Linked DNA regions of Drosophila melanogaster. The protein of the gene in region 1 interacts with the protein of each later gene in a pairwise test. Each region holds a gene or a part of one and is shown on either strand. Other genes may lie near its edges.

What was found. The genes of interacting proteins can lie anywhere in the genome.
Region 2: the proteins of CG4282 (region 1) and Fer3 interact in a two-hybrid assay, tested with the Drosophila melanogaster proteins (one large-scale study listed by BioGRID).
Region 3: the proteins of CG4282 (region 1) and Dora interact in a two-hybrid assay, tested with the Drosophila melanogaster proteins (one large-scale study listed by BioGRID).

Annotation. Positions count from the first base shown.
Region 1 is NT_033778.4:16,320,212-16,325,585, reverse strand, and holds CG4282 (uncharacterized protein), read right to left. Parts: upstream 3,401-5,374; 5' UTR 3,255-3,400; coding exon 3,251-3,254; intron 3,152-3,250; coding exon 1,795-3,151; intron 1,733-1,794; coding exon 1,342-1,732; intron 1,280-1,341; coding exon 1,073-1,279; 3' UTR 785-1,072; downstream 1-784. Other genes in the region: CG30096 (uncharacterized protein), read left to right, coding at 3,690-3,713, 3,768-4,016, 4,073-4,459; CG8060 (uncharacterized protein), read left to right, coding at 4,929-5,096, 5,163-5,374.
Region 2 is NT_033777.3:11,692,671-11,695,983, reverse strand, and holds Fer3 (48 related 3), read left to right. Parts: upstream 1-1,672; 5' UTR 1,673-1,757; coding exon 1,758-1,896; intron 1,897-1,962; coding exon 1,963-2,411; 3' UTR 2,412-2,574; downstream 2,575-3,313. UniProt on the Drosophila melanogaster protein: Transcription factor that binds to the E-box and functions as inhibitor of transcription. DNA binding requires dimerization with an E protein. Inhibits transcription activation by ASCL1/MASH1 by sequestering E proteins.
Region 3 is NC_004354.4:18,861,902-18,867,188, reverse strand, and holds the start of Dora (dorado), read right to left. Parts: upstream 3,240-5,287; 5' UTR 1,750-3,239; coding exon 1,470-1,749; intron 1-1,469. Other genes in the region: CG7326 (uncharacterized protein), read left to right, coding at 3,507-4,955. UniProt on the Drosophila melanogaster protein: Substrate recognition component of a SCF-like E3 ubiquitin-protein ligase complex that promotes target-directed microRNA degradation (TDMD), a process that mediates degradation of microRNAs (miRNAs).

The DNA.
Region 1 (5,374 bases):
ATATATGTTTATCACATGATGGAAGACCAGAGTGTTTAACCCGCAGCCAAATTTACACGCATTCTCCTTTTTTGTTCGTTTTTTGGTAGCTATACAATAAACATTTGAGTTACATTTTGTTTTACAACATTTTCGTCTCGTTTCGTGCTTATGCTCCACCACTTGGTATCTGTATCCGTGACTAACAGCCAACATACAAACAACATGCCCAAAATAAATTTAAGCCCGAAAATGGTGTCGCAAATCGCAAACTGAAACGTTCACGGAGCTAATTGTGCTAACAAATTTCCGATGCTATGGTACGTTTCGACTAAAGACAAACTAATAACCAACGGAAGTATTGTATTTATATAAATGTTGCCTAGAGATATCGATCGAAAATCTATAAGCAAAAAAATCTGCGCGCTGTTTGCATACATTAATCGCTGAGAAGATCCGCTCGAGCCTGTTTGTTTAACCCCGCGTGTGCGTTAACCCAATAAAAACCCAAAAAAAGAAAAACCATCATCAGCGATTGAGAGTCTACCACATGAGAACAATAATATTCTATGCGTATGTAAAGTTTTTCAATAATTCCTATTGCTAAATCGAAAATTGTGTACCGAGTTGTAGGCGAAACGTGAGAGAGATACAGTATCTATATATAAATATTTTAAAGTTATGCATACTATGTGTAAAAATGAAACGAATGAAACCATGTAAATGTCATTGCGTTATATAAGGTGCAATTAAGCCATCCTTGTAAATAATTATAAAGAAAGAAAGACATTCCCAACTTTGTTTTGTTATCAATTATTTGGATCGGAGCAGAGTCCAGTTCGCATTTATTATTAAATACTTTCAGCTTAGGACTAAGGTACAAAACGCCCTTTGAATATCAACTTTCACAGATTTCATTCGAAAGAGATTGTTTATACAATACGTTTAACTTTACGTTTTATAGACAAATAATTAAAAACTGTTGTGCGAATGTGTCATAATTTATAATATTGGGCAATTTGAATTTGACTCGAACTAATTCTGTGAAAGTGAAGAAAGGCGTTCGAATATTTTAAGCAATTCTCTTTCGGTGCTAGATTTCCTGTTTCGGCTTGTTTTGCGTCGAGGCGTTGCGCGAAATCTTCAGGATGTTGGGTGGCTTGGGTTGGTTTTTGTCCGCCTCGTATTGGGCGCGATGCAATCGCTGGCGATGCTTGTACATGTTGGCGGAGCAGAAGAATGTCATCGGGCAGTTGGGACAGGTGTAGAGTACTTCACCCGTATGAGTGGATGTGTGTTCCTACAAGAGGGGTTATACAAGTTTATCAATTAACATCAACTGGTCATGAGTTTCAAACTCACCTTGAGTTCCTGCGGCCGCTTGAAAGCCTTTTCGCACATGGTGCACTTAAACTTGCGCTCGCACTCGTGATTGTGGTAGATGTGACGCCGGAGAGCCCTTGCATTTGGGGACACCTTAGCGCATATATGGCAGCGATGCTCGCCGGCACTCTCTACGTGTATGCTCTTCATGTGCTGCTTCAGGCCGGTCATGCCCTTTAGCCAAGCGCCGCATATCTGGCACTGCTGTAGCTCCGGTTCCGGACGTGGCTTATCCGAGTGCATCAGCTCCTGGTGCTTCTTCAGGATGATCTTGGTGCGCATCTGCTTGCCGCACTTGTCGCAGATTATGGTACTCTCTGGGTCATGCATAGAGCTCATGTGGTTTTTCAGCTTGCGCTCGGTGAGAAATCTATTGCGGAATAGTAAACAAAAGGTGAAAAAGACATACAGACGCTTAAAGTATAAACCCACTTTTTGTTGCACTCGGAACAGGTGAACTTGAACTCGGACTTGGGCACATGCTTGTTAAGCTTGTGGTAGTCTATGGCCGTCTTGCTAAGGAAGGTCTTCGAGCAGAGGTCGCAGCTAAACGTAAGCTTAACGGCGGGATCCATGTGAACCTGCTGGTGCGACTCCAGGTGACGGGAATTTTGGAATGACTTCTCACAGACGCTGCACTTAAAGTGATCAGGATTCCAGTGGACGAGTACATGCTCGGCCAGCACTTTGCGCTGCGTGAACTTGCGGCCGCAGCACATCATGTAGCCGGGATCCACTTGATGGGTCAGTCGGTGATGACGCTGCATCTCGGTGAAGTTGTGCACCAGCAGATTGCAGATGGCACACGGCAGCACGCTGGTAAAGAACTTGGCGATGATGACGTCGTATTCTTCCTGCTGCTTTTTGCGCTGCTCCAGCAGTTCGCGGGACATGCGGACTTTCGGCTCCGCCGGTTTCGTCCGCTTCTTGTATTTCTTGGGGCGTACTACTGTTCTTTTTGGCAGCACGGCAAACTCTTGCTTTCCATTGTCCAGTTCAAAGTCTGAGTCTGAGTCGAAGCCATCGCTGCCTCCATCGTCCTCGGAGGAGTTATCGCTAGGCACCAGGCATGAGAAGTCAGGGTCCGTCTCCTCATCTACGAACTCGTCAAGCTCTTCTGCCTTAAGGTCAAGTTGAATGTCTTCTTTAGGTTTTTGGGGCGGGGCAACGGCAGCGTCTGATTTCCTTGGGCGACCACGTCGCTTTTTAGGCGGCGCAGGTTCTGCAGTCTCTTCTACTCCATCCTCGTCCTTATCCTTGTCAACACTTGATCCATCCTCTGCCTTCAAACGCTTCCTAAGGCGTCTGGCTGCACCCTCAAGTTGGTCCTGGTTTTCCTGGGTGTTGGCCGATCTCTCTAGGATCTCGATGCGGGGAAGAGTATCCAATTCATGTTCCTCAATCTTAATCTCTGGGTAAAAGAAGTTCCGACCGCCAAGTTCCTGTGGTTCCGTCACCCCTTCCTCCTCCTGAGTAGCCAGTTTTATAATCTCCGGAAAGGACGTAGTTTCCTGTGTTAGGGGATCATCCTCCATGAGCGCCACTTTTGTTTCCTGTAAAGAGCTCTGCGCTGCACTGACGAACTCGTGTAAAGTGTGGAAGTCTGAGACGATTTTCCAGCAGCGGCCGCATATCCTTTCGTCGCTTTCCTTGGAGATCTGGACGGGGAAGTGCTGGTTGACGATCGTAGTCACCTCCAATTGGTCGCCGCGCGCGGAGTGTACATCTATATAGTCCCCCATCATGGCCGGATACTCGCACATGCAGAGTAAACAGCTAGGAGAGGAATCTATTAAGATAGATAAAGAAAAAGTTTACAATTAGGACCACCAGCTTTAGGGGGAAATTCGATGCGGTCCAGCCGATTCCTTTACTGCCGCTGGCTTACCCATTGCGATTTGTAGACTTTGTTACAGATAATAAAAAGCCATTTAAGTGTTTGGGCGTAAAATGCAGTTTTTATTTACTTTACTAATTTGTTTAAAGCCGCAGTGCAATCAAAACGCCAGCTGTTTTGCAGTTCACAATAGCAGTGCAAGCTGCGGGGCCTTTACCAACACTGCCGATAACGATAGGCGATATCAAATCGGATTTTGGTCACTCTAATCGTTGTGCATTAAAAGTTATTGTTATTATTTACAATATCAAAGAAAAATGACCTGCTAATGCAGTGGGATTGAGTTATTCCATCATAAATTATCAAAGAAAACCATTCTTAATCAATACAATACAACGACAGGGTGAGAAATAGTACATACTATGAAATAAACGAATCGACCATTTGTTTACGTTTTACTTTCTTATTTGCAGAATATACGAATTCCAGAATGTCGGATTTGGGGAAAGATGTGGTAAGACTACTATAAACTGAGTGAAAACAACTTCTAAGTCCTTCGTATCCTTAGGCGAGCGAAGAAGGCTCCAATGGAAGCAGGGAAACCATTTGGTACACCATTGGAGAGCTTGTGGAAATGGTCGAGTGTCCAGGTTGTGGAATATCCATGGTATCGTTCAAAAATCGCTTCGCCCACATCAAGAAGTGCTTCAGCATCAAGAGACGAGGTCCTTTGTACAGGATTTATGGATATGCGGAGTGCAAGTGCGGCTTTCTTATTGCAGACACGGAAAAAGCCCGGAAACTGCATTGTTGTTCGGTAAATAAGCAGTGTGCTTAAGTATTGTAAGTATTACAAGGTTTCTGTTCATTTAGGGAAAACTTCGCCCCTGCAAGCCAATCATACCAACTGAGCCGAAAGTCCCGGTGACAAAACATGCTGAAGAACTAACATCAACTAAAAGGGAACAGGCTTTGCAGCCGTTGATTAGAAATTTTATCAGTCCCATCAAACAACAGGAGTTTCCATCTTTGGATATATCATATTCCAGTAAATATGATCCTAAACCAACATCGAGGCCACGCGTCCGTAACTTTGATAGACCACACAGAAGTCAAGCTCCAAAGGAAGTCTGTGTGTACTCCATAATTCGGAGGAATGGGGCTATCTCAGTGACAGGAAGATCCATCGTTAGGTACCGGGGTGGCAACGAAAACCTTGCCATACTTAAAAGGCGAGAATTAAAAATAAAATACGTATAACATAGTTATGTATAAGTAAACTAAGCTGTAGATAAGTCTGAATATTATGAAAGTAAATGTTGTCTCTTGTATTTATTAAGTTACATTTAATATTTTGCCTTTATTCAATCTTACCGATTGATGATAAGGCATCTATAAGTAATTTTCTTGATTAATGTAAACAAAAATAATTAATTTTGTAAATCAAAAGTTTTTTAAACACCAGCGTATAATGGTGTGTATTTAATGGTTAAAAGAAAAAAAGTGATAAGAAAGAAGTAGTGTAATATAAAAAGTATAAATGAAATTATATAAAGATAGCTATAAATTATGAAAATTCTATTGCATTTTAAATGAAGCGCCACATTACAGTTGAATTAAATTGGTTGGGTTAGGTTGGGTCTCCCACCTGGTCACACTGCACTCCGAGCAAAACAAAATAATCCACGTAAAAAACGTAATATCCCGGCGTTTATTTTTAAAATATCCGATGTCAGCCGCCAGGACGCAGGAATACGATTGCACCGCCAAGTGCAGACTCCGCCAGCATGGAAACGCCATCACCGCCGCGCTGACAAAGCGCTCCATTGACAACCAGAAGCTGGCGTCTTTTATTTTCAAGACTTGCGGAAACTTCGCCAATATTTTAGACGATCTGGTGCGTGGTGAAATTAGACAAGCCGTAGAAGGCAATTCATATGTTATCTTCATCTCGAAATTCTAGGGCCGCTCGGCGGTGCACATGTCCGCCTCCACGGCCAGGTACGAGATTTTGGAGTGGCTGCTGAACCACGGAGCCTACATCAATGGCCAGGACTACGAATCGGGAAGCAGTCCGTTACACAGAGCCCTCTACTACGGCTCTATAGATTGCGCCGTACTGCTGCTTCGTTACGGGGCCAGTTTGGAACTGCTGGACGAGGACACAAGGTGTCC
Region 2 (3,313 bases), on another chromosome or scaffold:
ATAATGTGAGTGCGCTGAGTTTGCCATCACAGAGGGCATAAATCTTGGCGAGTGCTCAGACACAGAGACAAACAAATGGTCTGAGACATTTCTTGTTACTTGAATATTCTTTTTTTTTGGTGCACAAATCGTAAGATGAAGTTCGTTTGTTTTTGAAAACCAAGCCAACGGACGCCGTCTAATGGCTGGAATAGAAATGAATGCAAATTTTCAAACTATTTTTACCCGGAATCCCTCGCTTTTGAACTTCGATTTAGCCATTAAAGTGGGTACACTTCATGGCAGCTGTCTGTCTTACTGTTTGACAGTATCGAAGGCACTTCATATCCAATTTCAGGCTATTGACACAATGAAGCACCCTTGAGTAGTACTCCGCTGGCTTGGAAGAACATAAAACGAACTAAATAAATAAACTGGAAACCTCATTTGGAGCCATAAAAACGAACTTTCGAATGCAAACCCACAGTTGAAGTCGTGTTTTGCCCCTTTTCCAATCAGCCCCATTGAAAAGTTTAGCGACAATGAAATCCTCCGAATGCTGGATACGACCCCCCGGGGAATCAGACCTCCGAATTCCCATCAAAGGATTACCTCAGTCTGTCAGCGCATTCCATTCTAAGCCTTGGACGCTGTCCTGTTGCCACGCGGCTAAATACTTGCCCGAATTGGGGGAATGCCTTTCATCTCCATAGCATCAAAATCTTAGAGAGATTCCGATTGGGAGCAAAAAGCCGGCGTAATTATCCGCGCAGGTGCACTGAACCCTATTCAGCAGGAGAGCGGAATACGCAGCAGGACTCCCAGAGAGTCACTTATAAACAAAAACAAATGCATGCAACAGATTGGAGGAGACTAACGGCATAAATGCTATTTCGGTTGAATAACTTAAATAATAAATGATTTGACATTGAATACAACTAAGCAGAACATTTTTTAAATATATATAACCTTAGAGAATTTCTAATTAACAAAACTAAAAAACTTAAAATTTAAAAGAACTTTGTGACAGGTTTAAAAACCGAGTTGCTAACCGGTTATTTTCCGAAAACGGTTCGTGTCACGGCTGTCTCGAAAGCACTGTGTATAATATTCAAGACATCCACCAGCAGCACATAACCGTTTCGAGGGTTGGAGTAGTAACTAAGAATTCTCTTTGACATAAGTTAATAATATTCTAATATGCTAATATTAGGATTCTAATAATATTCTAATATTCTGGAATGCTTGTTCTCTTTGCCACAGTCAAGAACTGCACAGCTATTTTTGAATTTATACAATATGTTATTATGGTAAAAAATAAATTAAAAATTTGTATTCCTATACCAAAATATACGTAAACCGGTTATTTGAGCGTGCTAAGTATTAGTCTTAATCCAGTTCAATTCATTTGGTTAGCTATAGGTAACAATAGATTATTATCAAAAAATCTGCAAATTGGTTAAAAAAAAATAATTTTTTTATTCAGTACGATATGCCTGATCTAATCAGATTTGAAAGTCAGAACATCAGATTTCACCTCAACAACCCCCCAGCAAGGACGACCAATCGGATCGCACCAAACTGTTGCCAATCCAAAATGGCCTCTAAGCAGATGCTGCCATCCGCCGGGGAGGAAAATCCAATAAGCAAAATTCGGAACAGCACCGAGCTGACTTCGCAGCCCGTGAGGACAATCAGAATTTATTGCAACACAGTCTTCCAAGCAGAACAGACCCAAGGTCTTCCAATTGCAGTATCATCCAATACAATAGACAGTCATGCAGCATCCACATCCCATTGACCAGCCCACCTACATGCCGGATGTTCCATTCCAGCCGCTTTGGGGTCAGGAGGCTCCACCGCCGCCCATTGTTCCATACCAAGAGCTCATCGCCGGTTTTCCCTGCACCGACTTGTGTAAGTACCTCAAACGGAATTTGGAATTTGGAATGGAAGTGCTTAAGATGTTTTTCTATTCTAAAGCTCTGTGGCAGCGCTCGCAAGTAACTCCTTTGGTGCCCCAGCGTCCGTCGACAAATGGGAGGGCCAACGGCTCCTCCAGCTCCTCGAAGAAAACGCGTCGCCGTGTGGCATCAATGGCCCAACGGAGAGCTGCAAATATCCGCGAACGCCGTCGCATGTTTAACCTAAACGAGGCCTTCGACAAGTTGCGCCGCAAGGTGCCCACCTTCGCCTACGAGAAACGACTGTCCCGCATCGAAACCCTTCGCTTGGCCATCACCTACATCGGATTCATGGCTGAGCTGCTGAGCGGCACGCCCTCGAACTCCCACAAATCGCGGTCCGACGTCTATGGGAGTATGAATGGTCACCATCAGGCGCCACCACCGGCAATTCATCCACATCATCTGCATCCGGCGGCGGCATATCAACGCGATTTCGCTTCGCCCTATAATCATAGTTTGTCCTAGTGACATTTCTCAGGAAATCCAATATTCAAATAAATGCTAAAACTGCTTCTCGTCAGATCAGTTTTGTTAAAATATTGTAATTATAGGAATAGATAAATAATGTTTTCTTAAAACTTTATATATTGTTTAAAAAGCAATAGAAATATTAAAAAATATTAAAAAGAAAGAAATTTATTGTTTCAAATGTAATTTCTTTAAAAAGTGAATTATGACTGGTCACATGAACATCAAGAATTTATATTCATGGGAGCAATTAAATTAGCCAGAACATTGAATTTTTGCACTTAAATGGATACTGTAAAAAGATATTTTTTGTATTGCAGTTATTATTATTATTATTTGTGATAGAAAAGGAAAAGGAGAGGACAATTAAACAAAATCAGTGGATAATCCAATTTAGTTTTCGAAATGGTAAACAAAGTGATTGTCTAAACTGGGTGGTGACTTTAAAGCCAAAAGTACCACCGAAGTACACCTGATAATCCCCCTAAGTAGAACCCGCACTTGTTTTAAAAAAAAAAACCCAGCCAAAACCAAAGCGAACCATGTCGTGATTTGCGTGCGAATTTGTGCAGCTGGAAAGGCAACACATGCCCAGGTCCATTCGGTGGTCCCAATGAAGTCACATTGCATACAAATCACGAATGGAAAGAAAACTATTATACAAAATTTGACAAGGCAAACAAAGCGTGAAATTATTATTAATAAATTGATGCACTCGGAGGGGAGATGCCAAAAGGGAGGACGGCAGTTCAAAGTCAATTGTAGCAACCCCTAACCAAGGACAACCCAGGAACAAGTGTAACACTTGAGGGATTCCCCGCAACCGGGCTAAATACCAAGGAATTTTTGCGTTCAACGCCCATCGCGAACAGATTAGCGCCCTTTTTTCCGGGCAGCAA
Region 3 (5,287 bases), on another chromosome or scaffold:
GCATGAAAATGCAGCTGGCTTCGCCACTACACACACACAAACCCAGTCGCAGGGCTAGCTCTTTGGCTATTTTCCCGCCAAAATCGAATAGCTTAAGCTACTATCTATTGGTCCTTTAGGTTTACAAACCAACAGCATATGAACAAATAGATATTTGGCTAACTCCTCTGTTTATAGGAAGTAAAAGATTTGTATAACATAACAGAAAGATAAAAATGATTAAGATTGAGCAAAGTTCAGCTAGTTTTGCCTAGTACATATACTATATTTTGTAATACTAGTGCTTAGTATCAATAAATATCAATAAAATCAACAAGCTGGTAACCCTGGCTATCAAAGAATCCACAAAGAAGACAACTGAATGGTTGGAGGTTCTTTGGCGGCTTTGCCGCTCTGTTTAGTCCTTTGACCCTTCCAAATATAGTCCTGTTTCCCCCCACAGCAACACTGCTCAGTCAAACAAAGGAAAATAAGCAAACGAATGCAGTGGATGGGCAAATGACGAAGACGAATGGAGGATACGAAAGAGAAACAGCGACGAGGACGAACTGCGCAGTCGCAGCCAGATATCCAGATATTACATGATGATAGTGCTGTGCGGCGGCGCACAGGATACAGAAAACGTGTAAGGAACGTCTCTTGGCAGGCCCGAAACAAAAAAAAAAAACAATACCCCAGCCACATGCACAAGCGTAATGAGCCACAGGGAAAGACAAAGGGACGCAACAAAAAGGTAAAAAGGAAACTCGTATAAACGAATGAAAATAAAAAACGTTGGCAGCCAAAGTCGTGATTTTGACTTCAGCGATAAGCAGAGGACTTCGAGGAAATGCGGGGAAACGAAGAAGACAATTGCAGACAGAGGGCAACAACAATTACAGCCTGCTCGTTGTTGTGCCTAAGTCAATTTTACAGAATTTACCAAAAGCGAAAAGGTCATGCGTATAATTACAGGCAGCACAGTGTAGCCATATTGCAAATAGCCAAATGCGACCAAGCTAGTAAAACATAGAACTAAAGCATATCACTCTACTTAGCTTAAAAAGTAAATTGTGTAGCAAGTAATTGATTATTTAACGCTATACGGATATAAATCTGTATAAAATGTACATGTAAGTTTCTCATTGTAAAGGGAAAGTTATAGGTATAAACTATTTTGGTTGCCTTATGGTTTTAAAAACAATTAAGGAAGTCAATATCTTTTGTATGCGACATATGAAAGCTTCTTATGAGAAAGTCTTTCTTAATTCCTGAATAAAAGAGGATACTTTTTTGATATCTTTAGGACGCACACTTTTCGAACTCTAAAAACTGTCAATGTTGTACAATGTTTTTCGGATTTTAAGAAGCTCTCTTCAGTTTAGATTTGTATCTGTGATTTTCACAACTGTAGTTTCACTGGTGTAATGCTCAATGGTCCGGGTACACTGCCCTAAATCCCGCCCTAGCAACAAGGAGATGCTACTCACCATAATGTCTGCCGCAGGTGGATGTGTTGGCCATGGCCGTTCCATTGCCGCCCGGTGTGCAGGAACCAGAGGCTCCTGCTCCTCCGAACGGCGGTGCTCCTGAGCCGCCGGCCACAGCCATACCGCCCATGCCGCTCAAGCCGCCATTGCCTGCGCCGCTGCCTGCAGCGGGCTTCTTCCAGCCGCGCCAGTTGTTGCACAGCGATTCCGGTTCAGAGCTCCAGCTGCAGAGGGAGTCTTCCTCGAAGCGGATGGAGTCGTCGAAGCTGAAGCGGTCCATTTCCTCCGGATTCCATTCGTTGGCCGCTGCTCCTGCAGCGTCTCTGCCCGCCGCTCCGGCTCCTGCGCCGCCTCCTGCTGCTCCTTCGGCGCCAGCGCCGACTGCAGCCGCTCCTCCGCCTCCTCCATTGTTGTTGTTGTTACCGCCGCCTCCTCCTCCTCTGTTGTTGTTGCCGCCGTTGCGATTCGCCAGCGTGAGGCTGAGATTGTGTGTGTTTACAGTTGCTCCTTCTACTGCTGAAGCTGATTCTTGTTCTTCTTCTTCAGCTGCTCCCCCGTTTGTTTGTTTTCCTCAGCTTCCTCTTCCTCCGTCTCTCTCACTGTTACTCTCCTCTCTTTTTGGATGGATGTATATGTATAATGGATCTCTGCCAAACGCTCAATTTAAAATCGTGTAAAAGGCGAATTTCTCTTGAGCGTTCTTCTCTTCCTCTTTTCTCTCTCGCTGTGTTCCTCTCCTTCGGTTCTCCCCTTTCAAACTCAAGCACACTGCCGGACTCGCTTGCTTTTAATTAACTTATTAACTGTAGATTTATGCTTAGGGCTCTAAGTTTCCCTTTTAGACTTAACTTTAGGTTTAGATTTAGATTTTGGGGAGTTTAAAAACTATTTTTGTTTATATGTACAAAATACGTTCAGTGCGCCGCGGTCTCTGTCGCTGCCTCTGCCCGCGTCGACTGCGACTGCTATTGTTTGTTGTCGTTGTTGTTGCATGTGAACTTTTTCGTATCCCCCAACGAACGAGAGAGCGAGATGGGGCTATGCTATGCGACTGCCGAAATAAGAGGGCCAATTTGTAGTTGTAGTTCTTGTTGTTGATGTTCTTGCTTCTGTTATTATTGTTGATGTGGTTCTTGCTGTTGTTGTTGATTTTGCAGGGGACCCCCAGTCGTTGTTATTGTTGTTAACGCTCCTCTTTTATCCGCTCTGCGCTTTGCAGTCCGCTTTGCCGTTAATTATTTTTTCACTCCTTCGCTTTGTGGCTCATCTTCGCTTTATCCTGCGCGCACCGCACTCACTCTTTCTCGCTCGCCCTCACTCACTCACACAGCAGTAGCAGCAGCAACAACAACGTTGCACACAACATCAATATATTGGATATATATCAACACTTTTTCGCCTGCGTGCTTGTCAGTGTGTGTGTGCATGCGTGCGCTTGTCGATTTTCACTGCCTTCTTTTCTTTGTGTGTGTATATGCGCTGCGCGTTGTGTTTGTCTGCGTCTGTGCGTGTGTTAGGTTTACGTGTGTGTGTGAGTGAACGAACGAAATGCGTTTAGCGAACGTTTTTTTAAAAAATCCTTAAATTTTTTGTGGATTTTGGCGATTACCGACACTTAAAACGGCACTGCACACGCGTCCCCGAAAACAACGGCACCTAGATTCGCTGGCCGAGTTACGATTTGTTTGATGCTACGCACGGTTTTCGGACACTTTTACACGGGGCTTTGTTTTTACCCATCGCATCGTCGACTCTTTTGCTCCTAAACGTTGTTGGTGTTAGTGGTCAGCGATAGTGCTCACACACTCGATATGGGTTTTCGATCATTTTCGGCTGAATATTCGATAAGGTCAATAGTATCGGTTTTCCGCGTACGATTTCCCAGTTTTCAAATGACGGTCACACTGACATTCATTCTTGACAATCGATAGTTTTTGTCGAGTGACGCTCTTAATATCGAAAAACCATAAGTAACGATAGGCCCATTTTGTTGGTGGTGTTCACAATCTTCTCGCGCTTTCCCAGGAACTGGTCAAGATGCCCATCGCCGGGCTGTGCATCGAACTGCGCCCGAACCTACGCAGCGGCGTGGTCTTCCTGCGATTCGACCAACAGGTTTCGCAGAGCCAGAAGACTCGCGTCGTCGTCCGCGACTACAATGTTTATATCAGCGAGAAACCTAAGAATCAGGCAATCGACTTGGATTCCAGCTCCGAAAGCGACAGCGAGGACTCCGACAAGCTGATGCTCATCCGGCACGCGCAGTATGGTATGGACATTGTCTGCCTGTCCACGTTCTTGGTCAGTGGCAGGAACATCAGTTTCCGCTTCAACTACAACCAGATTGATCTGGCCAGCGTGGATGGAAGCGCTGTGGACGTGCCTCTGGCGCCACTACTCCTCTCCTGCCAGGAGAACGAGCCCATCACTATCAACTGTCGTGATTGCCGAGCGGAATTGGTGGCAGGCCGAAGCTATCGCAGGTTGAGGGAGTTTCCCAGCCTCTTGGTGGATCCCACTGAGTTCTTTTGCCACAATCATGGACCAGCGGGCAAGACCCAACCAATTAGCTTAGTGCCCGCCGAAACGGATCTTTTCTATGGCCTCAACTATGTGGTCATCAACTTTAACGAAGAAAGTTCGTGCATGCTCAATCGCGACGATCACTTGTACTGCCAGCGCTGCATGCGTTATTTGGGGCTGACCATGTTCGATGGCGCCGCCGCTCGCATCTGGGCTGATGCAGTACGTTGGCGTCCCGCAGGAGCGGCGACAAATGCCCCCGATCGCCACTTCTTCCAAAACTCCACGCTAACGCAGCTTTTCAAGCGTCTGCTGCACTCGCTGTGGCCTCAACCGTTGCCTCAGCTCTGTTTGAACACCAGTCGTGCGGTGCTGGTCACCTCGCTGCCCAACCGAAATCAGCAATACATGTTTTTGCACGTGGTGGAGTCACAGCTGCGTGTGCTGCGTCGCATTCGCCCAAATTCGAACCGACTACGCTGCTTTCGCGCCTGCAAGCTGTACTACGGCGTTTTTGGAGCCAATCCGCCGCTGCTGGAGAAGTGGCAGGCGCAGCAGACGCTGCCCCAAATGGATGTATCACCGAACATGTTCCTAAAGATTCAGAAGCGCCTCGAGACGAATGGCCACTTGATTCCGGACGCCTTGAGCACGAACTGTGCGGAGGAGCACCTGCAGTTGTCGTACTTCTTTTATGAGAACGAGGATCAACACGACGGCGGGGTCGTCGCTTCGGATGTGTTTACGGATCAAATGAGCAACGTGTATCAGAAGGAGGTGGATCCGTACGAGACGGATGCAGGACATGCCAGCGAGAGCGATGACGAGTACTCGGATACGGACACCGCTTCGGGGGACACGGCGGCTTACTCGCTCGGCATGCGTACCCTGCAGAAACGCAGCCCCACTCCGCCGCGGTCTTTCGCCAAAATGGCCACCTCCGCCTCGCCGGAGGACAAGTAGTGACCCAATCCGATTCAAAAATCAAGCATAGCTTGTATGTCGGAAACTATGTTACTTGTTTTCACTATACAAAGACGGACTTGGCCCAATAATTTGTCAAAGATATTTTTTTTTTAAAGTTAGCCCTTGATTGATAATCAATTCCATCCAAAATACTTTACTATGCCTTTGATTCAAATCCTCACATCCTTTGCTTTTGTTTATCGTTATACATTCGCTTAGAATGAATTAACAGTACGCGGAATTGATAACGCCAAAGACTATTTATTGTTTTGTGAAGAAAATTTTGATTTTATTGCTTGACTCGATCGTTATATATATATATGTATATT